Linked DNA regions of Danio rerio. The protein of the gene in region 4 purifies or fractionates together with the protein of the main gene of each other region. This does not show direct contact. Links are inferred from orthologs where the notes say so. Each region holds a gene or a part of one and is shown on either strand. Other genes may lie near its edges. The genes, in order: dnmt1, jun, wwp2, parp1, top2a, rpa2 and aptx.

Region 1 (3,244 bases), on a different chromosome or scaffold from region 4:
TTACAAACCATTTTATAAAGTTTCAGCTTGATGACAACTTAAGGCTGATTTATACTTCTGCGTCAAGCGCACGGGTATGCTACGGCCCAGCCTATGCGTTGACGCATAGCCCTAAGCCGTGGCTGACGTCCACCTCTCAAAAAAAAAAAGTAAACTACACATCGTACGATGCATAGCGCAAGCTCAGTGATTGGTCGGCTTGGTAGCGCTGACGGGTCAGGGTGGGACCAAGAGCCCGGCAAACCCGATAGAGCGATTGTTTACAAGTGTGGAGTCCCGTGAAGGAGCTCCGGATGGAAAGTTTTGTTTTGGGTTTACCTCATAGTTAAAGTTGTTGCATGTCTGTCGGTTCCTGCCTCAATATGAGCGAGTTTGAGTCACTTGTACATTCAGGAAGCATTTAGAAAAAACAAAACTGCAGCGAAAAAACTCAACACAGGAACATTAACACCTCACTGCCAACTAGCGTTTCAGAAGTGTTAATGCAGGCCAACAGAGACAGTGCACAGAAGTATAAATGCAAAGCCACGCAAGTTTATACAGAAGTATAAACCAGTCTTTAGGGCTTGTAAACAGAGCGCACATTGGACGTTTTTAAAAATGTATCCCTGTGAATTGTCAAGTGGTCTTTAAATTTCATATTCTAATAAATTAGGTTTTATGGTGAGAGAGGCTTGAGAGTGGTTACATATTGGTCATGAATTATTTTTCAGTAAACAATCGAGTCAACCTGGAGCCTTTCAAAAACTAAAATCAACATACAGTTGGTGCTATAGCCTATAACATATTCAAGAACAACATGCAAACAATAAAGTAACTCACCTGCAGCACACCAAAGGTGCACTGGTAGCCCATGCGCACCAGACAGCGCAGTGTGAGCTTCAGGACCATGGAGCGCTTAAATGACACAAAGTTCCTTACGTTCTCCAGCAGGAAGAACTTGGGTCTGTAGTAGTCACAATAACTGAAACAAAGAATTTACACAAATGGTAAACATTCTGCAGCAGCACATCTCCAAATGTTTTACAGGAGGTCTCATATTGTGCTGACCTCAGATAAGAAACAACCAGAGAGTTCTTGAACTTTGAGTATGTGCGAGAGTTGAAGCGGTTCATTCCACTGAAGCCTTGGCAAGGCGGCCCACCGCAGAGCATCTCCACGTCACCCTTCTGTGGCAGCTTCTGTCCAAGAGAGTTAGTCTTCTCTCCAGACATTACCAGCTTCAGCAGGACGTTACAGTCCTCTGTGAAAACGGTCGTGCCTGGATTGTTCAACCTGAATGCCTGAGCGGCAGGGTCCCACATCTCTATTGCCCAGTGAGTCTCTGAGATGCCTGGTATAAGAAAAGGTGCATGAGTAATAATTAGGGATGTAACGGTATCAGAATTTCACGGTACGGTAATACCTCGGTATGAACGTCACGGTACGGTATTTATTGAATCATTTACAGGAAAAAACAAAACTTATGAAAATACTCCAAAAAAGTGCCAAAAGTGTCAATGACATACAAATTAGCCATCTATCTGTAAGCTTTGAAACAGGAACTTCAATTTTAATAACAAAAAAAATATTAAACCATGTAAAAAAAAAATAAAGTTTCAATTTAGTAGTGTTGAAAACTCATCACATTCAACATTTAATCACTCACTCACTAAGATAGAGATGGGTTTAAACGAAAATTATCATAAATATAATCTGGTAAAAGCTGGTATCTCTGGGTATTTACAATGTCCCCTACAACAGAAAAAAACCCTCTCATTTGGGACTGAGGTTTCTGGGACAAGAGAGATATGACTTGGCCCAGGTTGACAGCAGTGGGTAACGTTGTGCATTGTCTTTCCCCCACTTGAGAGGACAAACCATGAGTAAGATAGAGGTCTCATGTCTGCATCAATCTGAACAGTGTGCTGACAACACCGCTATTCAGTACGCGCGCGACAACACAGCTGATAAGAACTCGCGCGACAACACCGCTATTAAGTACGCACGCGGCGACAACACCCGCTTTAGAGTTTTCCAGCTCTTTTTTCATCCCCGCTTCTAGCAGCACACTCTATTTCCGCATTACTGGATCTGTAGCGACAACAGACCGCAAGGGATGATGGTCAAGCATGGGCTGATGGGAATTGTAGTTTTCGCTACCTCCCGTTCGCTTCATTCGCCTGAGCAAATTTTCTCAGAAGACCTATAGTTTTACTGAGTCGTGCGACTTCGGTAATATCAAAAAAAATTAATATTGCGGTATGACGGTATTTACAATACAGTTACATCCCTAGTAATAATACATTGTGTAACATGGTTCTATAAAGAGACTCAATGGAAGCCAAACCTGCTTGATGGAAGCCCTCAGACAGACCACCACAGCCAGAGAATACATCCAGAGTGCGCAGTTTGGGAACCACTGGCTCTTGTGGCTCCTGATCCTGTGGTTCTTGAGGCGCTGCTTTCCCTTTCCCTTTTCCTACAGACAACCATGGTACAAACATTTAAGCTGCAATTTCTCCCCACATGCAGTTATGATTGTGTTCAGATATTTAAGCCATCTTGAATCCACGATGGACCATTTTTAGCTTAAAAAAAACACAAGAGCATACCTAGAAGTTTCCATTACTTATTTCAACATTACACTTGACTTACCTTTGCCCTTTCCTTTCCCTTTGCCCTTATTCACAGCAGATCTAGCATGATTGGGAGGATCCTCAAAGCTCTTGGTTTTGGCATTGTATGCCTACAAAAAGAACCATTAGGTAAGTCATGGCAGAAAATATTTTCAGCTGCATTACGAGTACCATTGGCAGCTCCATTACAGCCAGATTTTATCCTTACCTCAAGGAAATAGAAGCGATCGGGTCCTTTGTTTGAATAGTCCTGCACACTTTCAACCAGATCCTCTGCATACTCAACACGACAGCGTGTCAGCACCTCAGTCATGCTGACGGTCGCCTCTTCGTCACTCCAGTAGAGTTGGTTTATATCAGAATGATATGCTCCCTTTGGTCCCTTGTGAGTGTTTTCAGGTCTGAAAGCAAACAAGTTTGGGGAGAAAAATAGTATTGAACTCCCTTAAGGTACAACCTCAAAATCAGACGCACTGGTTGGAATCATTCCGGAGAATAAAAGAGTTACCTGTAGAATTTATAGAGGCGCAGTTTGATCTCTGAGGTGTCTGGCTTTCCATTGCTGCGCTTGTTGCAGAAGATTTCTTTGATGCGCCCAATGCGGAAAGGCTGAGGAGCATCCAGAT
Region 2 (3,705 bases), about 30 Mb from region 4:
TCAACCATTTATTAATTTAATATTAAGTCATTGTTGCTGGTTAAATTGTTAAAACTTGTATACATCTTCAACTTCTACAATTTTTTTTAACATATTTGCAGGCTAACACTAACCTTAATAAACTTTTGTTTCAGTTGACACAAAAATGAGGCCATGATTAAAGGCATTGGTCTATTTAGTACTTGACTGTGTGATAATTACTTGATAATTTCAGCATTACTGATTTAAAGAGTCAATCAAATTATGTGTCTGCTTTATTTTGATGTAAAAATGTTATATTAAGTTTGCATTTAACCTTTAGCAATTAAGCATGTATTTATAATGTTATTATTTTTAATTACTGTAAGGATGTTTTTTGACACCCTTTTTTCCCAGTCCTGTCTGTGGACTTTACAAAACAGCCAGTCTCTTCCAAAACATGTTATTACATGTTTGTCAATTTGAACACACACACACATACACACACAAGCGTCATTTCCATTAAGACAACAGAGACATTGTTTTTCATTTGACATACTTTATTACAGTTCATAAATATTGATTAGTTTCTGAGGTGCTCAGAAAACAAACATAAAAAATTATTGTACTTTACTTACAAATGGTAAACTTAAGTACTCCTGGTTGATCATATTTACAAATAACAATGAGTGAAACCTCATTAATGAACTTTTTTTTTAGAAAAAGAAACTGCTTAAGTTGGACTAACTCAAAAGGAAAAAAGTCGATTTCCGTTCAATTTAAGAACAACAAAAAAAGTACAATATGTAGCTCAGAAGTCAGGCAGCTTTTTTATCAAAAGTTTAGCAGACACAACGTCCTGCTTGGTGAGCCAGTATCCCTACTGTACGGCAGTCGCGTCTCTGTTTTACTCCTATAATACTGAGTGCTCCTTTGAAGCGTATAGGTCCATGCACAACCTGGTCGATGTGAACAAGGATTTCGTCAGAAAGTAAAACATGTAACAGAGTGAGTCTCATGCGCTCTGCGTCTCTGTCGGACCGAGTGAAGTTTTGCGCTCCTCAAAAGTCCAGTCGGATCATCCTTTAACGGCACGCGGCCGGCCGGACGGTCCCGGTCCCCGCGGGCTCTGTCGCGCCAGATCGCAGACATCAAGCCCCTGAAGTTTGTTTATGTGGCTGAACTCAAAATGTCCTTCGGCTCTCCTCAGAAGGTTTGCAGCTGTTGTGTCAACATGAGCTGGCAGCCGCTGTTGACGTGGTTCATGACTTTCTGCTTGAGCTGTGCCACTTGCTCGCGCAGCATGTTGGCGGTGGACGCGAGCTCCGAGTTTTGCGACTTCAGGGTCTTGACTTTGTCCTCCAGCCGGGAGATCCTCTCCAGTTTCCTCTTCCGGCATTTGGACGCGGCGATTCTGTTTCTCATGCGCTTCCTCTCGGCTTTAATCCGCTCCTGGCTCTCCATGTCGATAGGAGAGAGCGGTGGGGTCTCGCCGGGCATCTCGGGCACCGTTTGGGGCTCCTCTTTCAGGGCCTGGAGGCGCGGGTGCTGGACGGGCAGCTGCGGTGGTGCGCTCGGGAAGCTCATCGCGGCTGGATTGGCCGAGCTGCTGCTGATAGCAGGGTTGAACGTGTTCAGATCCGCGTAAACCGGCGGATCAGCGCGCATGGCTGAGCTGTAGACCGCACCGCCCGCTATGGACGAGACCGGTGCCATGCTGCTGTTGATAGTAGTTTGGGGAGCCGAGGTGACGTTGGGCATGTGCTGGTGGTGCAGCTCAGCCAGTGCCCTCACAAAGCCCTCCGCGAACCCCTCCTGCTCATCCGTCACGTTCTTGGGACACAGAAACTGGGTCGGAGTTGGCGTCGTGGTGATCATGCCGTTGCTAGACTGGATGATGAGCCTCTCCAGCTCCGGTGATGCCAGTTTGAGAAGTCCCACGTCGGGAGAAGTGAGGATATCGCTGGCTTTGGCCCTCAGGTGGGGCTTTAGGTTCCCCGCGGGGTCGGACAGATTGAGCGTCATGTTGTGTTTCAGAGCCTTGTGGTTGTATCCAAAAGTGGCGCTGTCATGCTGAGAGAAAGCGCTGTTTAGAGAGTCATCGTAGAAAGTAGTTTCCATCTTGGTAGACATAGAAGGCAAAGCGAAACTTTTAGTTCAGAAGCAGTCTTTTAGGCGCTGTTAAGCACTGTCCGCGTTCAGTAACGAGCGCTGCGGTGTTTGGAACAAAAGCGAGAGGATTGGAAAAGTTCCTCAACTCCCCGTCCCGCGAGAAACTTACTGCGTAAAGTTATCGCCAGTGTCACGGGCTCGTCTCCTCCTGCCTTCCGCGGATAGAAAGTTCTTCCTCCGCCGCTGTCGCGCTTCTCAGACACCAGCAGATAAACAGTGCTTAGCCGAAGGCTTATTTATGTTGGTTTGAGTGAGGTGTTTCACTGTGGCGAGGTCTGTATACTCTGAGCTTCTCCAGCGTGGAGGCAAACCTTATCTGCTACCGCTGCCCCACTAAAAATAGAAATGATGTAATGCGCGCAGCCTCTCATTGGCTGGAGGCGTTTTACTGGGCGTGTCACAATTTCAGATAAGGCGCGTTGCCTAGACGACCACCCAGAAGATTCTACTCGCGGTGCCTGATGGGATGAGGTAATGCTGTAAAGCAGTGCATTGTGGGATTACGTATTGTTTTTGAATATCTGGTTACCCGCTTAGCTGTTTTAGACCGTGGCGGGATACAAAGAAGCAGAGTAATGTACAACGCGCCACTTTTAGAACTTAAACTTTACTATAAGTTTGAGAAGAAGAGGCAGAATAAATGTGTGCCGCTGTATGTTTGAGAGTTGACCAATTCTTGCGCGAGTTTCGCAAGACGCGGCCATTCTTTAACAACAGCAAGTTCCAAACACTCTCTGGATCCAGTTTAATGTATTGCATATACATCAGTAAGGTAAAAAATATATATTAGAAATACAGTTTGGAGTCAGTGAAACTAATTTCCAACCTTACAATAAAATGTTGAGGGAGATTTAAAACGAAAAAAAAATAGAAGAAATGCCTTCTGAAATAATAAATTAAATAAGCATAACTTGATGTTACTCATTTTGTTTGAATATAATGTTAGATTAGCTGATTAAAAGTATTTTTTTTTAATCAGTCGTTGAAATATATTATGAATTAATTAGTATTTGCTAATTTTACTCTTCTTCACTTCCAGCACTCCCTTGTTGGCCCCCTGGGGGTCCCCGAACCCTAGTTTAAAAACCTCAGTGTTATACAGGCATACATAATTTAATCTGGCACGAAGAAACAGGGCTATAGTCTGCTTTTTTATGCCAAAGTGCATTTGCTCCGTCAGCCAATGGTCTAAAAATGGGGGCGTTTCTTATTGTGGAGTGACAGCGTGCCACAAAGTCCAGCCGCCGTATCCGTGACAGTCCCTAGAGATCCTCTCAAAAGTGCAAACAACCCTGTTAAACGTCACTGCGTCAACCACAACCACAAACTGATCGAATATAGCGTGACAGCTGACAAGTGACGTTTCAGTTTACTTTCTGAGATTTTTACTGACGTTGCTTAAACGTATGTAAAGACACAATAGCTAGTTTATTTGTATTTATAACAACATTAGTAAGATAAATATACAGGTAATGTTGAGATGGACATTTGCAAGAATGGTCGTTTTTATTATTGTTTATTTTATTAATTAGTTTTTGTTATGAGTACATTAAAATATGGTTGATTCTACTGTTT
Region 3 (3,500 bases), on a different chromosome or scaffold from region 4:
GTGTGTGTGTGTGTGTGTGTGTGTGTGTGTGTGTGTGTGTGTGTGTGTGTGTGTGTGTGTGTGTGTGTGTGTGTGTGGTGCAGGAACGTGACTCCTCAGAGTCGTCTGGATCTGAAGGTGTGGAGTTGTCACACTTTGAGGAAGGAGCTTCTGGGCAGCGCCACCATCGACTTGTTGGACACTCTACGAACACATGATGGCAAGAGTGAGTTTAAACCCACACAAACACACACGGATACTCACTCTCACATGCACTGACACACGCTTGCACACTAACTCTCACAGACAAGCACAGATGCAGAGATCTGTTTGTTGGTTTAGAGCAGGGGTCACCAATCCTGGTCCTGGAGGGCCGGTGTCCCTGCAGGGTTTTGCTCCAACTTGCCTCAACACACCTGCCTGGGTGTTTCAAGTATACCAAGTAAGAGCTTGATTAGCTCGTTCAGGTGTGTTTGATTAGGGTTGGAGCAAAAATCTGCAGGACACCGGCCCTCCAGGAACAAGTTTGGTGACCACTGTTTTAGAGAAATAATGACAGATTATGGCAGAGTTTACGCTGCAGGGTTTAAGTGACTTAATTCAGATTTTTTTTTTTCTGCATGTGGCACAGATCGGATATGAGAGCGAGAGCACTATCCACCACATAACCAATGTAAACTGATAAAACTATTGCATGCATCACGTGCACATATTACGCCATGGACATGACATTAAGATGCCTACTCGTTTAAAAAGGCCTAGATTAAAAGAAGATGGCCAAATCTTTTCTGTCAAACTATTGGAAAGCAACTTGTCAAAAATAATAATAAATAAATGAAACTCTGCAAACAGATTAAATAAAAGAATAGAGAAAAGAGCGCTTTTTCATTATCAGCTGTCAGTCAGCGTCCGAATTTTTTTTAATTATTTTTTTTTTTGCGCAGTGTAAATGCAGAGAACCGTTCAGGAGTCACTTCTAAAAGATGATGTGAGCAGAAATGAAAAAAAAATCACATACAGTCACAATCGTATTGACCATCAAGATCTGCAGTGTAAGTGCAGCCAATGTAATGAGTGAACCTTTTTTTTTTTTTTTTTTTTTTCCCCACTTGATTTAAAGGCCTCTCGAGGTGCGTGAGGAGCAACTTCACTAATATCTGAGAACACTGACCCTGATGCTCTTTATTAAATAGATTGATTTGTTTTAAGTTCTGGGAATAACGGTCTGTTGTGCAGGTTTGGTGTGTAATTAATACTGGAGTGTTCTGATATGATCCGGAAGGGTTTAGCAGATCACTCCGCGCGGTTAGGCCCAGAGTTTTTTTGGGGGTAAAGTGGGTAAAGATGTTTCTGAGTCAGTTTTGTGCTTGCAGAAAAGCAGAGAAATGCTGCGTGATGGCGTTTTTAAGACTGTCAGCCTTATTTCCTTAGTTTGGGCTTTTTCTGTTTATTGGCTTATTTATTTTATTTGTTTTGTTTGGTGTGTTTTGGTCAAAGAAAAGAAATCACCACTTTAATGTTTGCAAACTTTTATAGCTATAAAACCAACAATCCATCTATAAAAACACTGTTAACAAAAGTAATATTGTTAGTATTGTTCAGTTCAATTCAGCTTTATTTGTATATTGCTTTTACAATGTAGATTGTGTCAAAGCAGCTTCACATAAATGGTCATAGTAACTGGATCAGGGTAGTTCAGTTTTTAGTGTTTAAGTTCAGTTTTAAGTTCAGGTTAGCTCAGTTCAGTGTGGTTTGAAATCATTACTGAGTCCATACACTGAAGGGTAAATTCATTGAGTAGCTTTTCAGATCCTGAACCATGCAAGCCAGTGGCGACAGCGACTTATCATCCTTACAATAACATTTGTTTCAAAGTTCTCCCTGTATTTATGCATTTATGTTTGTTGTGAATAAATTTTAGTTTATACTTTTTAAAACTTATGGTAATAAAAAAAAAAAAAACCACACACACACACACACACACACACACATCCAAGAGCAAACATTCCCAATAAATTCCAAAAAGTATTACTTTTTTTGGTCGTTTAGTTTTTTGAAACAAGTAGTAACACATATTTAATATTTTGAGAGATTTACAGTAAGAATAGTGATTTGAAATACTGAGAATAAAGCACTATAATAAGTTCTACGAATATTTCAACAATGCTCTGATTAAAATAAAGCATTATTTTGGAATTTTCTCTCAGCTTCAAAATGTCCTTTTTTTTTTTTTTTTTTTTAAATAGTTTTTGAAACTAAAACATATATATTTATTATACATTTTATATATAAAACTATGTTTTGACACTATTTAAAATGTGGCTTAAATTTCAATTTTTTTAATAGGGCATGTAAATTATCCACTGCCCATTACAAAGAAAAATGTTAAAGTTTTGTTCTGCAAGTCTTAAAAGGTCTTAAAGTCTTTGTGAAACCTGCAGAAAGCCTGATATAGAAAGCACTTTGAATTAATGCGTGGCTTTTTTTTTTAAGGTTTCAAATGGGTTATGTGATTTTTTTTAAATGTCAAAATATCCAGGAAATGATATTCCAGCTGTACACTTATTTCTGTTCTGATGAAAGCTCATACTTTTCTCTGACGTGTTCCTACTGAAATGTATTTAAAGTTTGATCATATTTGAAATCATGAAAAGCTTCATCAAATGGGTCCACAAATAAAAAATCTTTAATCTTTTATAATGTTCAGCAAATTGAGTTTTGCTATGAAAAATGTTTTTGTTGCTAAAGCACCTGTGATGTTAACATTAAAATAGAACCTGTGAAAACAAATGACAAATCAGAGACTAAAAACAAAAACGAAACAACAGTATATTTAACAGTCAAGATTTAAGCTTTCCTTTATTGCAAATTAGGATTCAGTGTGTGTATGCACGAGCGTGCATGAGTGCGTGTGTGCATTCATGTGCGTGCATTGGAGTGTTTGTGCACTTGTTCATTGCGTTCGTGTGTGCAAGTGCTTGTTCGTGCGTGTGCATGTCTTCATGCATGTACATTCGTGTGTGTGCGTGTTCGTGCATGTTTGGGTGTGCATTTGCGCAAGTGTGTGTTTGTGCACGCATGCATACGTGCATGTTTGTACATGTTTATGCATGGGCGTGCATGTGTGAGCGTATGCGTTTGTGCATGTTAGTGTGTGTGTGCGCATTGATGTTTGAGTGAGCACAAGCGTATGAGCATTTACGTGTGTGCGTACATGCATTTGCATGTGTGCGCATGTGCATACATGTTCATGTATGCGTGCGTGTGCATACATGTTCAAGCGAGTGTGTGTGCATGCATGTGTTTATAAGCACATCACTAATGTTTTTATTGGTCTACCTTTTTTTTTTTTTAATGACAGGCATCAATGTATTGTTCTGCTAGTGCTAAACAATTAGTTTCATCGCCTAATTCACATAATACCCCCCCTCTCTTCTCTCTCTCTCTCTCTCTCTCTCTCTCTCTCTCTCTCTCTCTCTCTCTCTCTCTCTCTCTCTCTCTCTCTCTCTCTCTCTCTCTCA
Region 4 (3,500 bases):
TTTTCTAGAGATATATAGAATATAATATTTTTACGATGCACAACAATCCAGACGTCAGCATTAATGCATAGATACAAAATCACTTAAAGAGAAAAAAAGCTGAAAATAAAAGATGAAAAAAGGCGAAAGGTCATTGCACACTGAAGTCTGAAATATTCACATGCGTTTTTTTTTTCACATCCATCTGCAAAAAATGTCACGTAAACAAACCTTGCACACTGAGTCCGATGTGTATTTATTATTCCATTACAAAAAACTGCAAATCATTTGTCTTAGTGTGTTTATACAGACAACTTGGTTTAGGCTGTCTGGACTCTGTATCATGCAGCTGGGTGGTTTTTGGTTTTGCAACTCTGTTCACAAACACAAACATGGTTCAAAAAGTAATGTTTATTTGTTTTACTCTACTGCTTCGTCAATATGGAAGGTCATTATAATTACTATAAAAAAAAAAAACGGGTGAAAATAAATGGTAAGTTTGTGTGACCAAGTGAGCAAATTGGCCTCAGTGCGATCATATAATAAAGCCTGGAGCCCTGAAGTAAAGTTCTACTGAGAAACCTGCAACCACCGACTTCCACAGCATTTGTTTTTCTTACCATGCAAGTCAATGGATACAGCAGGGGCGGACTGGCCATCTGGCCAATTCTGGCAAATGCCAGAAGAGCCGGACCATTTTTTAAATGTGGGCCTGTCAGCTATTTATTTTATTTTATTTTTTCATATGTATTGCTTTTTTTTTTTTACATGTAAGCAGCTTTTATCTCTTGCAAGATGTGAATATTATGATGATGATGATGATAATGATAATAGTAAGAATATTAATCAATTTTAAGCATTGGCCCAATCGGCAATGACAGGCTGGTTTCGAGATGGGCCGACCCAATCAGAGGTTACGCAGACGTAATCAAGATCTGCCAAGAATGTCCAACACACAGTAAGTGCAACAAATTGTCAGAGATGGACCATAAAAAGGGAAAGGCAGTCAAGTCAGACAATGCCAAATACATAAAATTAACTGAACTAGTCTCGAAAGGGGGCAGAGCAGTGGCACAGTAGGTAGCGCTGTCGCCTAACAGCAATAAGGTCGCTGGTTCCCTCAGCTGGGTCAGTTGGTGTTTCTGTGTGGAGTTTGCATGTTCTCGTGGGTTACCTTCTGGTTTCCTTCACAAGTCCAAACACATGCTATAGGTGAATTGGGTAGTCCAATTGGGAATTGGTTATCCCAGTAATGGGTTGCAGCTTTGAGGGCATCCGCTGTGTAAAACATATGCTGGATAAGTTGGTGGTTCTAAGATTAATAAAGGGACTAATCCGAAAAAAAAAATTATGACATGATTGCATATATAAATGGGTCGTTTTTGTTCCAGTCACATACATCAAATGTGTAAATATTTCTTAAATATGGTACTGCTTATAAAATGTTACCATCTGTACACCAATATAAGTAGTGAATGTGCGTGTCCGTGGGTGGGGCTGTGTCGGTGTGGTAATGTGGGCTGGTGTGGCTACAATGCCAGGGCTGATTTTTAGTCCCAGTCCGCCCCTGGGATTCAGGTTTTCAGCTTTCTTCAAAATATCTTCTTTTGTGTTCAACAGATGAAAAGAAAATAAGGTTTGAAAACGCTAAAGGTTGTTAAACAGAGTACAAAGCTTCAACACACAGACTAATGACACACCCCACACAAACTCTTTGCATAGTCATCACTGCATTCATACCAGCATAATGTAGCATGCACTGCACTTTAACTGAACCCTTACTTATAAAACAATACTGCTTACAATATTTACCCACCAATAGCCAAGAGATGTGTACAACTTTTTGACTGTGTACTTGTCTATTTTGTGTTTACATTTGTGTGCACTGTGTGTTTTTCTTCTACGTATTGTCTTTTACATATTTATTGTAAATAGTATTTTGTTTTGAAGTATGCTGTTGTATTTTGCACTGTCTGGACGCAAGCTTTTCACTCATAGCACCTGTGCTGCTGCAGATGATGATGATGGTGTGACAAATACAGGAGAATTGATTTGAAGCAGTGCATGTTTTCTAATTTGACAAATCATCTTGGACTCATCTGCAGCAGACCTTAAAGCTCAATTCTTTTATTCACATTATCAACCACTAAAAATACAATCCAATTAACAGTACAAGATAACTGTGCTTTTTTGTAGTTTTTCTTTTGTATTATGTATTATCTGCATTTGCATTATTGTTATGCTGTCTCTTGGCCAGGTCGTCATTGTAAACTTCTTCTCAATCGACTTATTGGTTAAATAAAGATAAAAAAAATATATCAATAAATCTAAAGCTCACCCTTCGCTCTTCACAGCAGGAAGCCGTTTCTTCAGCTCCTCTTTGTCTTCATCTCGTAGAACTGCGAATCCTTTGAGCTGGGCAGCGCTGTACTCTGGTTTAAATATCAGTTCCTCCCGACGACTCACAAAGCAGCCGGTGTGGTACCAGCGATCGATTAGACCAAGCTGAGGTTTCTCTGGGTCCACAGTCTTCTTCGACACACGGATCTGGTCCTGAAAATCATCAGGGAACAACAACAAAAAAAACTTACATCTTTACAACTTCTGCTCAGATAGAACACTTGCAGGGGTGGAACTAGGGCTGCACAATACTGTATATCGTTTCAGCATCAATATCACAATGTGTTCATTTGCAATAGTCACATCACAAGAGTCTGGATCATAATTCATCATTTGCATGTGTTTTTGAGGCCTGTGACAGTATGAGGGTTTTAAAGGCATTCAGGCATAAGAAATTGTACCGTTTGTAACTTTGTGTTATGTATAACTTTATGCAATGATTCATTTTATTGAATTATTTACACAATGAACACTATGCAGTATTACTATTCAATTGCTGTATATCTGAAGACACTGTTTAAAATAAATAAAACGCAGTTTATTTAATTTGTATAATTTTCTTCATTGTATTTATCCATGCTTGTAGATAGTTTATTATATTTCATGCAGATGCCCTCACATACAGAATCACCCCCGCCAATCTAAAATGATCAATTCTTTCCAAATAGAAATATTCAAGTCATTTGTTGAAAATGTATTCATATCGTAATATATAAATATAGAGAGAGAAGTATACTGATTAAGATCATAACTGTAGAGTGCATTTACACCATGGCCATATTATCTATGTAAATCAGGGTTGGGTCAATAGATGATGCCATCGTCTATCGCCAATGGTCGACAGACATCACGATGCTAAGCTGACATCATGATCCTCTGCCCCGCCCCTGTTGCAGCAGCAACCCGCTCACAAAAAGACCCCATTTACACTAATACATCTTAGTTTTAAAATGGCATTTTAGAACAAAACAGATCCACGTCCATACAGGCGTTTCATCTAGCGTTTCCTCTTTCCACACTACACTGTTGAAACCACACACACACATGCACGCACGCACACACGTGCGCGCGCGCTGCATCCTATGTGCACGTATGAGCTCCAGGCAGTCAGCGGGTGCTTT
Region 5 (3,500 bases), on a different chromosome or scaffold from region 4:
AATCAGGTTTTAATGAGGTCTTAAATTTTGTTCAAGCGTTGTCTAAAGTGTTTAACTCCAAAAAAGCATAAATGTATTCATTTTCCTTGATCCTTGCAATTGGTTTGAGCCAAGGCACGTTTAGCCAAGCTCCTCCATTCGGGTGACGTCATGTAATTTGCGGCAAACATGGAAAGGTGACGTGACACTTTCCACATATAGCGAACCCATAGAGTGGAACAGATAGCAAAATGGGAAAATGTAAGTTTGAGTACTTCTGATTTGAGAAAGATGGGTTTAAACAGTGGCTGAAGCCTGTCGCCAACAAAACAATCACGTTTGTTTCTTCCAGGCTTCTCTGAGTTTTGTTACACGGTTGTGCTTCATTGATTTATTGAACTACAACTGTTTATTAATATCTGTTTATTAAGGTCAAAGTTTAATATGGATTAGGACTTAGTGGCAATGAAGTCTTAATATATTCTAAGAAGGTCTTTAAAAAGTCTTAAAAAGGTATTAAAATTAACTTAAGGATTGCTGCATATACCCTGGTAATGTATTCAGATGAATAAACAGCCTTTTCAAAACTGTTCAAAAATGTTTTTTTAATAAATCTTCAATCAAACAGATGCGTCACATATTCTAAACCAGATCTATTGATTATTTAATGTCTACAAAATATAATGTAGTGTGTAAAGTTTTTTTGAATTCTTTTATTTGCTAGCAGTGGTTGGAAGGGAGGGATTTTAGCGTATCTTGCCTAAGCTGTCAATCATCTGACAAGAAATGCCATTATAAAGTGAAAGCAAATGTGTAGAATATGTATAAGATAATGTAAGTTGTATAAAGTTAGCTTTTTTTTGTAGATTTGGTGACTTTAATTTAAAAATGTATTAACATAAATAATAATTGGGTAAGCTAAAAGTGTCTGTAGTGTATATGTGTGAATGAGGGTATGAGTGTTTCCCAACGATGGGTTGCAGCTGGAAGGGCATTCACTGCGTAAAAACATGCTGGATAAGTTAGTGGTTCATTCCGCTGTGGCGACTCCAGATTATTAAAGGGACAAGCTGAAAAAAAAATGAATAAATGAATTAACATAAATATTTAATAAGGTACATGCATACAGTAAAGTTTCGTTGTGACAAACCAAGTCAATTTTCATTTTAAAAAGTCAAAAGCCAAGTTTCTTTCAGTTCAGTTTTAAAGCAGCCCTACACAAATCGTTTTTCAGCTTCATTTGGTCATTAAAATGCTGTGTGTTTCAGGGTGGCAGACACACAGACTATGTTGCAGATCAGATTGTGTCCAAACTGATTGAAGTAGTGAAAAAGAAGAACAAGGCTGGAGTAGCCGTCAAACCTTTCCAGGTACATTCAGATGTTCTGCAAACTGCATCAAATAGTATTGCCTTCTCATGGCATTCTAAATTAATCACCATGTGCTGGTTTAACTTTGTGTGCAGGTCAAGAACCATATGTGGTTGTTTGTGAACTGTCTGATAGAGAACCCCAGCTTTGACTCCCAGACGAAAGAGAATATGACCTTGCAGCAGAAGAATTTTGGTTCTGCCTGCTCTCTGAGTGACAAGTTTGTTAAGCAGGTAAGAACTGATTTCTCGATCATTCATTGCTGTAAAAAATCATGGCATAATGGGTGAGAGTTTAGAGTTAATATAAATATGTTAGACGTATTTTACTGGTTAGTGCATGTTACTTGAGTTTTTTCAACACATTATTACCATAAAACAAAGAGAATGGGATTTACATGCAAAACAAACTTGACAAAATTACCCTTAATGTTAGAAAAGATTTCAACAAATTCTCCAACCAGTGGAACCAGTGGTTTCTCCCACATGCTCTTATTTGTAAAATCATTTTAACTATCAAGCATGTTTTATTTGAGTGTGTTGGCTTTACTTCAGTGAGGAAGGTATTTCATTTAGTTCATTTATTTGAAGTATACATTTTTAGCAACTTTTATAGTTTTAGCAAAAATAGTGTAAAACCTTAATGTAATCAACAACTCCAGCATACTTTTTCTCACCATAAAAATGGCCATGGAAGGTGAAGTGGTGTTTTAACATAACAAATCTTACCATCAATCTCTTAATAGCCTATTAGTTATATATTTAACAACCCAAAAACCTTAATACTGTTGTGTTTTGTTTCTCACTTAATGTATTCACTTTATATTGCAATGCATTAACAATTAATTGCAATTTAATTACTCAACTTTGTATCACTAAATCAGGGTTTTGCTAATGGTGGTTAAAGATATGTTTAAGTTGCAGTCAATTTGTCAACAGTGAAGTCATGACTTAAAATCAGAAAGACTTTCATTTGATCAGCTCAATAAATTTGTAATACTTGAATATGTCAAATATGTGTAGAACTTTTTTTGCTCTGCCACAAATCTTCCAGTTATGATTCCTGTATGACTGCCCTTGGATTTTGACTACTGTTAGTGCAATTGAACTTTTAAAGCTCTAATAAAATCCTAATCCATCTATGTCTGCAGGCTAATGGGTGTGGAATTGTGGAAAGCATTATGAACTGGGTGAAGTTTAAAGCCCAGGCTCAGCTCAATAAGAAATGCTCAGCTGTCAAACACACGAAGATTAAAGGAGTACCTAAGCTGGATGATGCCAACGATGCAGGTAACAAGAGGTTTGTTGTAATGTTAAATGGTCACGACACCTTCAGCCTGGATGTTCATTGCCGGGTGCTTTGTTTGTTTTAGGTGGAAAGAACTCCAATAGCTGCACTCTAATCCTGACCGAAGGAGACTCGGCCAAAACTCTGGCCGTGTCGGGTCTGGGTGTTGTGGGACGTGATCGATATGGTGTCTTCCCTCTGCGTGGTAAAATGCTCAACGTTCGAGAAGCTTCACACAAACAGGTCAATGACTAAAAATTAATCACTTTCATTTTTAGTTACATACCCCACAAAAGTTATTGAGAGAGAGAGCAAGAAAAAGAGGGGTTCCTTTCAGAAGAATTCCTCCATATGCCCTAATCCCTTTGTAGGATCCCTTTTGAAGGAACTGGAGCCCTTCCAAATTTAATGCAGTGTGCGACTCTAAACAACTTCCCTCCTCAAAGAATCATGTGGGCCAATGTATCTATCAGTTGTATTTTTCAAAAACACCAAATCCAGCACTTAGAAGTGGCCATTTTTGAGCACTTCAGTTTTGAACGACATTTCGGAGGGGTAATTCTATCGCCTTTTGGATGGCACTGTTTGTAAAACACTCATGCCATCAGGCTCACTTCGCTTATGGCTCTCTTACGCCACCCCTACACTATTCACCGATGCCAAGCTGACCAATTACAGATCTTACGCTACATGTCTCTTTGTGTACTTAATTTTTTGAGAGATGTGGCATAACGTATGGCTAAGGGTGTGCGATTGTTTAAAGATTGCGCTTCACTCTGTGCAGAACTATGAATTAGCCTTAAGCAGTGTACCATGGTCTTTTACTTAGCAAATTATAAATTTGAGACCAGCAATAATCAAACT
Region 6 (3,500 bases), on a different chromosome or scaffold from region 4:
ATTCTATTTAGCCTTATATAAACGATTTAAAACTTGTCCTCCAACCTATTCTGCATCAAGATATTCGGCATTCTCTATGTGCGTGTGTGAATAATTATGGTTCAGATGTGAGTACTAAAACATTGTCAGTTCTCTCATGAAACCAAATGCTTAAACATTAAATCAAGCTTTCAGAAACATTACAAATTTATAAGTCTATATTGTCTATCAGGGCTATGTAACGAATATGCACTTATGAAATGAATGCTTGTGTGTGAAATATGCTCACTTTGCGAGCAGATATTCCCCATGTATTCATTTTCATAACTATACGCAAACAGGAACCTAACATATTAAGAGTGTTTTGTGACCACACCAAAAAAAGTCTGTGTTTCTCTTTTGGGGACTAATTGATCATCTTATCCCCTGCCTTTTTCTACCCTCCTTCAGCTCAGATCTTTTTTGCGCTCCGTAATGCTCAAGGGGGGGCATAATACTGGATGCTCAGTGCATTCTTTAGGAAAAGTATACACCAGAATTTGAATCCGAACCATCTCTAGATAAGTGACCTATTGTTTATCTTTTAACTGACCAGTACATTTTCTGTGTTGACCATGTCGTGTGCTCCCTTGGAGTGGTGTGCATTGCATGACTGACCTCAAACCATATTGATACGAAAGATATTAAATAATCCTGCATTGCGTTGGGGAAACATATCAATATATCCCCAGAACTTGACATACCTCCCAGCACTACTCATATCTATGGCCTAAAATCACAATGCACAAAAACACTGCAACAGTACCTCTGTGTCAATCCACTGCTTGACATCCATAGGGGCTGCAGTCATGTCATCCACCTTGTACTGGATGTTGATTGTGGATTTATCCGTGCTTCGGATCACACCAACAATGGTCACCTACACCGTATCAAGCACAACATGAGTCTAATAAACAGAAGTATAAAAAGGATAACAATGCAGTGTTGCATTGCTATTGATGCTTTTGTTTGTGTTAAAGAGACAGTTCACCCGAAACTAAAAATTTACTCATCCTTCACTTGTTTTAAACCTGTTTGAGTTTCTATTGTTGAACACAAAGACATAACCGAAGAAAGCTGAAACACTGTAACCATTGATTGTCATAGTATTAGCGATGTAACGATTCACCGTAAGCCGGTCAAAAATCGCTTTAAATATGTGACGACTTAAGTTGGTAGAAATGTGGAATTAATCATTATGCATTTTGTGAACAGAGGGGGCGTTGTGTTTAAAGGCACAAACTCGCTTTATAGCGAAAATTAATTGTTTCTTCTGTTCACCGCAATGCAGACGTGGAAAATTCGGTAATGGTTTAGTAATAGATCATAACCGGTTATTACGTATTTATCTCATATGCGCTTACTGCGATTGTGGTTGTTTACTATGGCGAGGGAGGCGAGTAATTAAAATGCTCCAACTACTTAAAAACACAGAAATGGCACAATTCACTGTGTGTGTGTTTGCTGGACAGTCTTTCACTGTGACTGAAGTTACAGCAGAAGCTCCTATTTCACTGCGATTGAGAAAATAAAAGTAAACGTAGGCCCAATCCCAATTCTACCCCTTAGCCCTTCCCCCTACTCCTCGTTTTGCGTATGCCCTCGAAGGGGTAGGGGTGTCCCAATTCTCTTTAGCTTGAAGGCGTAGGGCTAAGAGCAAGGGGTATAAACCCCTTCAAACAAAGATTTTTTAGGACCACACTAGAAACCAAGAGGTAAGAATCATTTCCCAGAATACCCCAGCAACAGCTGCACCCGGAAGTAAGGAGATCCACAAATTTGTATTTTTTTTTGTCATTATTACGAATTTTTACAACAAACAAACACGTCTTAATATATTCTTAACCGCGTTCATGTTTTACCGTCATGCTTAAAAAAAAAAAAGGGCTAAAATAAAAACTGCTAAATTTTGTGATTTTTTTTGCGATCTATAATTCCTAATAATAACTTCAGTACAGCAGACCCACAACACTCTGACACTCGATGACACTGGAATACCCTGTCAGAAAAGTCTAATGGCTGGGAATGGGCTTTTTACAGTGTCTGCTATAATGTTCATGCTGTTTTTGGTGTGTTTACATTGATGAACATGGCCACTGTGTAAATGCACAGTATTACGATCTCATTGCCACATTAGATCATTATGATAACATAATATATGCCTTCAGTGATTTCCTGAAGATAAATACCAATAAATAACACAACTGGAATCACTCCAGCAGTCGCCATCATCTGATCTCATATGAAGCAAGAGATCGCGAGGACATGATGATGTGTGCAGGTGCTGTCCTAATTCTTAGGGGTAAATTTTAAAGCCCTTCCCCTTAACCCTCACTTGTAAGGACCAGGGGAAAGGGGTACAAAAATAGAATTGGGATTGGGCCTTAATTTCTCTCCCTCAATGTTGCCATTTCACCTGGTGGCAAGACATTTCCTCTCCTCTTGGCAGTTACAGCGCTTCAGACACGAGTGTGTCTGCAGAAGAGTTTTATCCTCTGCATCAGTCATGGATCAGCTGTAAATCGCTGATGCCGTTATCAACGTCACTCAACGGTGAACAGCACCAGAGCATTAGAGCCAATCGCAGCCCTTTCTGTTGAGTGCGTGACCAATCATAGGGGTTTAAGAACTTACTCGACAGGGCTCATAAAGTGAGCAGGATATTTACATTTGTTCATTTGCTATAAATGCTCATGTTGTTCTGTGCATGTACTCGAGTTTTTAAAAGGACAGTTCTGACTTTGTATTGAAGGACAAAACTGTATTACAAATAGTATAGAAATATAAATATATTTATACATTTTTTAGAAAAGAATTCTTGTGCTGTTAAGTAAAATATCAAATTTTGTATGGAAAGCATCGTCAATGAACAGTGATATGGAATTTAACCGAACCGATGGCATGATAATCGTAACCGAACCATGAAACCAGTGTAGGTTCACACATATACCGCTGTACTGGCATGTCAGCGGCGAGCAAGAGGTGGGGCGGCAGAGTAAAATGACAGCATTGAAGTGCACCAGACAAAACACAAAGTGTGTGCAAATACTGCAAAAAGAGGTTTACTTACACTAACAGAACATGAATATGATGCACATAAACCATCAGCACAGAGAAAACTACAGTCACAGACGTCTATACTCAAAAACACTAATAATAAGTCACACCAAGCAGACTGGATGATTTGAAGCTCCACTTGCTCCGCCTCCGAAGAGTGCTACGGAGCTCAGACAGTGCATCAGTGTTTTCGTAACGAAAGTGTGAAGATATTTTTCCGACTGAAAGAGAAAGTTGTTCTGTTATAGAAGCAGGTATTAGACTATGTTTACCATCCTTTTCAAATTAGTTTATGCATATTGAAAAATTAGCATCTAAATTTGCTATCCTGATATACAATTTGTAATTTTCTAATCAGTATTGTCTGTCAGTAGCCAGTCCCCTGGATCAGACGGCCTACTGACCCCCTCTGTACACCCTGCTCT
Region 7 (4,126 bases), on a different chromosome or scaffold from region 4:
AAACAGCACATTTATAACAGTATTATTGATCTTTGTTACATTTTAGTTGATAGAAATACAGTTTTTCATAGTTCACTCAGTACATTAACTAATCCTAACAAGAATGAATTTGCATTTTAATAATAATCTAGTAAATCTGTGATTAATAAATGATGCACAATTATTGTTCATTATTAGATCATGTTGGTAAATACATTACTTAATGAAAACTTTAAGTGCAACCATTATAATAGAGCATATATGAGTAAAATATCTCACAGATCTCTCTTTTGAATTCATATTTTCTCTAGGAAGCTTTACAATATTATATTATAGATTATTCAGTACCGAAATCTGGAGCTTATCTAACAAAATAACTTATGATAACACTCCAAAAAAAAAACAAATGTATATACTAGGGGAAAATATTACATACACATTGAAAAAATAAATCTAAAATAATATTATATACAAAATAAACAAATAAATATATACAATTTTGTTGAAATTTTTGTAGTTTGTAATTGTTTTTGCATGTTTTATCTTTCTATTACTACAGATGTTCAGTGACTAAAATATTATTTCAATACATATATCTGTTTAATAAATCTGTTTTGGTCAAATGCACCAAAATATGACATATATTCACTGAGAAATTGATAAAAATATTCATTTTGCAAACTCATTTATGCCGAGCACTGTATACTCCTATTGCATAAATACTGAAACTTCCCAACCTATACATCTAAAAGAAACTCACCGATTTTTCACCAGCAGGTGGTGTTGTTTTTTTGGGTGGAGGTGGGCTGTCTGACACATCTGCTGTTGTTTTTGTAGGGCTCTGGATCTGCTGGGCTCTTTTGGAGGGTTTGGATCTGGACGTGTCCTCCGTGAACTTCACACTGTAAGGATACTGCTGATTGACCATGTAGAGTCTCTGACCCGGCTTTATGCTCACCTGCTTGCAGAGGTGGGCGACATTTGGTTTGTGTGATGTTAAGCAGACCAGAGACCTGTGCAATACAGCCTCAATTACAAGACAACCGGACAATTATCGACACAGCTGGTTTGCTAGAAGCTGAATAAAATAATAATTGCATCTTATCAGATATTAAAAAAAAAATAAAAAATACTTGGCATTTTAGATGTTGTAAATGTGTTCATAGAATATTTTATCGAAGCAAATACTACTGTTTATGTGTCTGATGTTTATAATAATAATGTACAATTTTCATTTTTACTTTGCCTTGTGTTAACTTAATAAAACTTGTATTAAAATTACATATATTATACCATTATATTTATATATATATATATATATATATATATAAATATATATATATATATGTACATACATACATAGATATACATACATAAATACATATAAATATATCTATACACACACACACACACACACACACATACATATATATATATATATATATATATATATATATATATATATACACACACACACACACACACACACACACACACACACACACACTACCTCAAAAAAATCTTGTCTTGTATCCAAGTTAAGTAATAATTTGACTTATAGTTGATCATTTAGTATCACAATTGGTTTGTATGAAAGGCAAATGACTCTAAATTATGATTATTTTACCAAAATAAAATATGATCATGCCTTGATTTTTAATGATTTCATTAGGACAGTAAGGTCTGACTTTGCTTAGACAACAGTCTTGTCACTTAACAGAAATAATGTACAGTATAGAATATAAAGTCATGCTGTTACTGTGAATTAACAAACAGGACATATTGGAAGTCTGCTCAAGTCTAGGATAATGACTATACAAAATTTTGCATTTTAAGCAACAGTAGAGCTACACATGGGTCTATAATTGTTGTTGTTGTTTTACCATATGTTTAATAATAGGCTAAACTTATTAACCTTTATTTTACATTTACAGAATCGTGAGAAAATCGTGATCTTGATTTTAAGCAAAAAAAAATTTTAAAAATTGTGATTCACATTTTTGCCAGAATCGTGCAGCCCTAGTCCGTATATTAAATACTTTTTCAGAATATTTTAAAAACACTGTACCTGATTGCCTTTGCCCACAACCACATCATCCACAAGTGTCGGATTCACACCCAGCTATTAAAAACATCAAATAAACAGGTTCAAACGTTATTACGTTTTATAAATTAACTTCTAAAAGGCTGTTATAATAAAATATCTGGTTCAAATCCATTTTGGTGAGTAACAAGTATTTTAATTTATTATTAAAGGAGAAAGTCAAAATATAAAACCAACTTTACACCAAGAAATAAACTTTTTTTTGTGGTATTGAAAACTAATTTGCATTATTTGACATATATTTCAGCTCAGTATATATTGTATTAATATTTGCTTTGATATTATAATTCTCCAGCAGACCTGTTTAACAGTGACAAATCCCCTGTTGCAATCAGCTCTCAATTCAACTGCAAAAAAGAAAAGACGTTGTATTTCTAAAATAAAGAGGCCGTTTTTTTATTTGCTTTTTATATGCAAAAATACCTTGTTCTCTAGAGCACTTCTTGTCTTTTATCTTAGTGTCTGGTCCTCGACCCAGAGTCACAGACTGTTGGTGATGGAGCTCAATGGGTTTGTGTGAATTATCTTCACTTACTAGTAAACACACAGGCATCTCCTGAAAACACACACCATATTACACGTTATAATGCTATTGCGTATACATATAGTCTACGGTGCTTTTCTAAAACCCACTTATGTTCGTTACTTACTGTGTTAGTGTAATAAAGCTACGGTAGAAAAAAGTGTGGTAGTCGTAAACATAAAAGTGCAACACATGACGCTCGCTCGCTCGCTCTTGTTCGTTGGTGTCAACAAACAGCACGTCATGCGCGCTTGCTGCCAACTACTGGCTGAAAGATGACGTGAACTAATCTTACCTAGGTGCCTAACAGATAATGTTAATACAAAAAAGATGATGTTAATTCAAAAAGTAGAATTTTAAAAAAGATATTAAAATAAATACAATTACACATATAATATAATCTAAAAATATAAGTAAAAATTAAAATTGTACACGATACAATTACACTTAAGGGCACAAGGCAAGGAGAGCAAACCAGAGTTGTGCAGATGCAAAACAGTATAAAGAGGAAAAAGTACACTATAATGCAAAGTATATAGTATAAAAGGCTTGTACATATGATGAGTATTATAAAGTGACAGTGTCTTAATAATATATAGGAATGTAGTATGAGGTATCTAGCAGATGTAGATGTATACACGTCAGATTTAGTGGAGTTTGTGGACAGATTTCCTGTAACTACACTTTAAAAATAATATAACATCACTTTATGGAGTTTAATTTTATAGAGTATAGAATAGTGTTACTTAATGCAGACAGTTTAAACGCTCCTACTGTTGATTTATTTGGATTTTGTTTTTATTTTAAGGCAAGTAATTATTCACTCATTCATTTTCTTTTCGGCTTATTCTCTTTCATAATCAGGGGTCGCCACAGCGGAATGAACCGCCAACTTATCCAGCATATGTTTTACTCAGCGGTACTACCCATGGTTACTACCCATCTCTGGGAAACATCCATACACACTCATTCACACACATACACTATGATCAGATTTAGCATATCCAGGTCACCTGTACCACATGTCTTTGGACTGTCAAGATACCCCACACGAACAGGGGGAGAACAAGCAAACTCCACAGAAATGCCAACTGATTCAGGCGAGACTGAACCAGCAACCTTCTTGCTGTGAGGCGAACATGCTACCCACTGCACCATCGTTTAGTTCACCACAAGTTATTATGTTCCTAATAAATAATAAATTGATAAAAAAAATAGCCGACCACTTTTTATTTTATTTTTATTAAAAAATGATATTTTATTGTAGCAAATTACACAACAACATCCCTAGACAGTTAGTGAATCCATTTTATATTGTTTTAATAAATAATACAATTTTATTATTATATATATATATATATATATATATATATATATATATATATATATATAAATATGTGTGCGTGCGTGTGTGTATGTATGTATATATAATATATATGTATATAAATAAAATTGTGTGTATGTATATATATATATATGTATATATATATATATATATATATATATATATATATATAAGC

Evidence for each region.
Region 1: the proteins of parp1 (region 4) and dnmt1 purify together in Homo sapiens (affinity purification with western blotting; 4 studies listed by BioGRID and IntAct, with this or other methods). This does not show direct contact. The link is inferred for Danio rerio from reciprocal best matches to the Homo sapiens genes PARP1 and DNMT1.
Region 2: the proteins of parp1 (region 4) and jun purify together in Homo sapiens (co-immunoprecipitation; 3 studies listed by BioGRID and IntAct, with this or other methods). This does not show direct contact. The link is inferred for Danio rerio from reciprocal best matches to the Homo sapiens genes PARP1 and JUN.
Region 3: the proteins of parp1 (region 4) and wwp2 purify together in Homo sapiens (affinity purification with western blotting; 3 studies listed by BioGRID, with this or other methods). This does not show direct contact. The link is inferred for Danio rerio from reciprocal best matches to the Homo sapiens genes PARP1 and WWP2.
Region 5: the proteins of parp1 (region 4) and top2a purify together in Homo sapiens (co-immunoprecipitation; 3 studies listed by BioGRID and IntAct, with this or other methods). This does not show direct contact. The link is inferred for Danio rerio from reciprocal best matches to the Homo sapiens genes PARP1 and TOP2A.
Region 6: the proteins of parp1 (region 4) and rpa2 purify together in Homo sapiens (affinity purification with mass spectrometry; 3 studies listed by BioGRID and IntAct, counting the BioPlex papers as one, with this or other methods). This does not show direct contact. The link is inferred for Danio rerio from reciprocal best matches to the Homo sapiens genes PARP1 and RPA2.
Region 7: the proteins of parp1 (region 4) and aptx purify together in Homo sapiens (co-immunoprecipitation; 3 studies listed by BioGRID and IntAct, with this or other methods). This does not show direct contact. The link is inferred for Danio rerio from reciprocal best matches to the Homo sapiens genes PARP1 and APTX.

What each region holds. Positions count from the first base shown.
Region 1 is NC_133178.1:57,140,140-57,143,383, forward strand, and holds part of dnmt1 (DNA (cytosine-5)-methyltransferase 1), read right to left. Parts: coding exon 3,127-3,244; intron 3,020-3,126; coding exon 2,827-3,019; intron 2,729-2,826; coding exon 2,638-2,728; intron 2,462-2,637; coding exon 2,330-2,461; intron 1,334-2,329; coding exon 1,051-1,333; intron 965-1,050; coding exon 823-964; intron 1-822. UniProt on the Homo sapiens protein: Methylates CpG residues. Preferentially methylates hemimethylated DNA. Associates with DNA replication sites in S phase maintaining the methylation pattern in the newly synthesized strand, that is essential for epigenetic inheritance.
Region 2 is NC_133195.1:16,778,530-16,782,234, reverse strand, and holds jun (transcription factor Jun), read right to left. Parts: upstream 2,361-3,705; 5' UTR 2,092-2,360; coding exon 1,165-2,091; 3' UTR 501-1,164; downstream 1-500. UniProt on the Homo sapiens protein: Transcription factor that recognizes and binds to the AP-1 consensus motif 5'-TGA[GC]TCA-3'.
Region 3 is NC_133200.1:37,284,832-37,288,331, forward strand, and holds part of wwp2 (NEDD4-like E3 ubiquitin-protein ligase WWP2), read left to right. Parts: intron 1-83; coding exon 84-205; intron 206-3,500. UniProt on the Homo sapiens protein: E3 ubiquitin-protein ligase which accepts ubiquitin from an E2 ubiquitin-conjugating enzyme in the form of a thioester and then directly transfers the ubiquitin to targeted substrates.
Region 4 is NC_133195.1:46,960,145-46,963,644, reverse strand, and holds part of parp1 (poly [ADP-ribose] polymerase 1), read right to left. Parts: intron 2,533-3,500; coding exon 2,318-2,532; intron 74-2,317; exon of another isoform or gene 1-73. UniProt on the Homo sapiens protein: Poly-ADP-ribosyltransferase that mediates poly-ADP-ribosylation of proteins and plays a key role in DNA repair.
Region 5 is NC_133187.1:11,266,770-11,270,269, forward strand, and holds part of top2a (DNA topoisomerase 2-alpha), read left to right. Parts: intron 1-1,247; coding exon 1,248-1,349; intron 1,350-1,444; coding exon 1,445-1,582; intron 1,583-2,499; coding exon 2,500-2,638; intron 2,639-2,721; coding exon 2,722-2,879; intron 2,880-3,500. UniProt on the Homo sapiens protein: Key decatenating enzyme that alters DNA topology by binding to two double-stranded DNA molecules, generating a double-stranded break in one of the strands, passing the intact strand through the broken strand, and religating the broken strand.
Region 6 is NC_133191.1:4,967,633-4,971,132, forward strand, and holds part of rpa2 (replication protein A 32 kDa subunit), read right to left. Parts: intron 899-3,500; coding exon 785-898; intron 1-784. UniProt on the Homo sapiens protein: As part of the heterotrimeric replication protein A complex (RPA/RP-A), binds and stabilizes single-stranded DNA intermediates that form during DNA replication or upon DNA stress.
Region 7 is NC_133176.1:55,999,141-56,003,266, forward strand, and holds the start of aptx (aprataxin), read right to left. Parts: upstream 2,801-4,126; 5' UTR 2,734-2,800; intron 2,664-2,733; exon of another isoform or gene 2,640-2,663; 5' UTR 2,637-2,639; coding exon 2,507-2,636; intron 2,431-2,506; coding exon 2,384-2,430; intron 2,102-2,383; coding exon 2,048-2,101; intron 1,246-2,047; exon of another isoform or gene 993-1,245; coding exon of another isoform or gene 938-992; coding exon 740-937; intron 1-739. UniProt on the Homo sapiens protein: DNA-binding protein involved in single-strand DNA break repair, double-strand DNA break repair and base excision repair.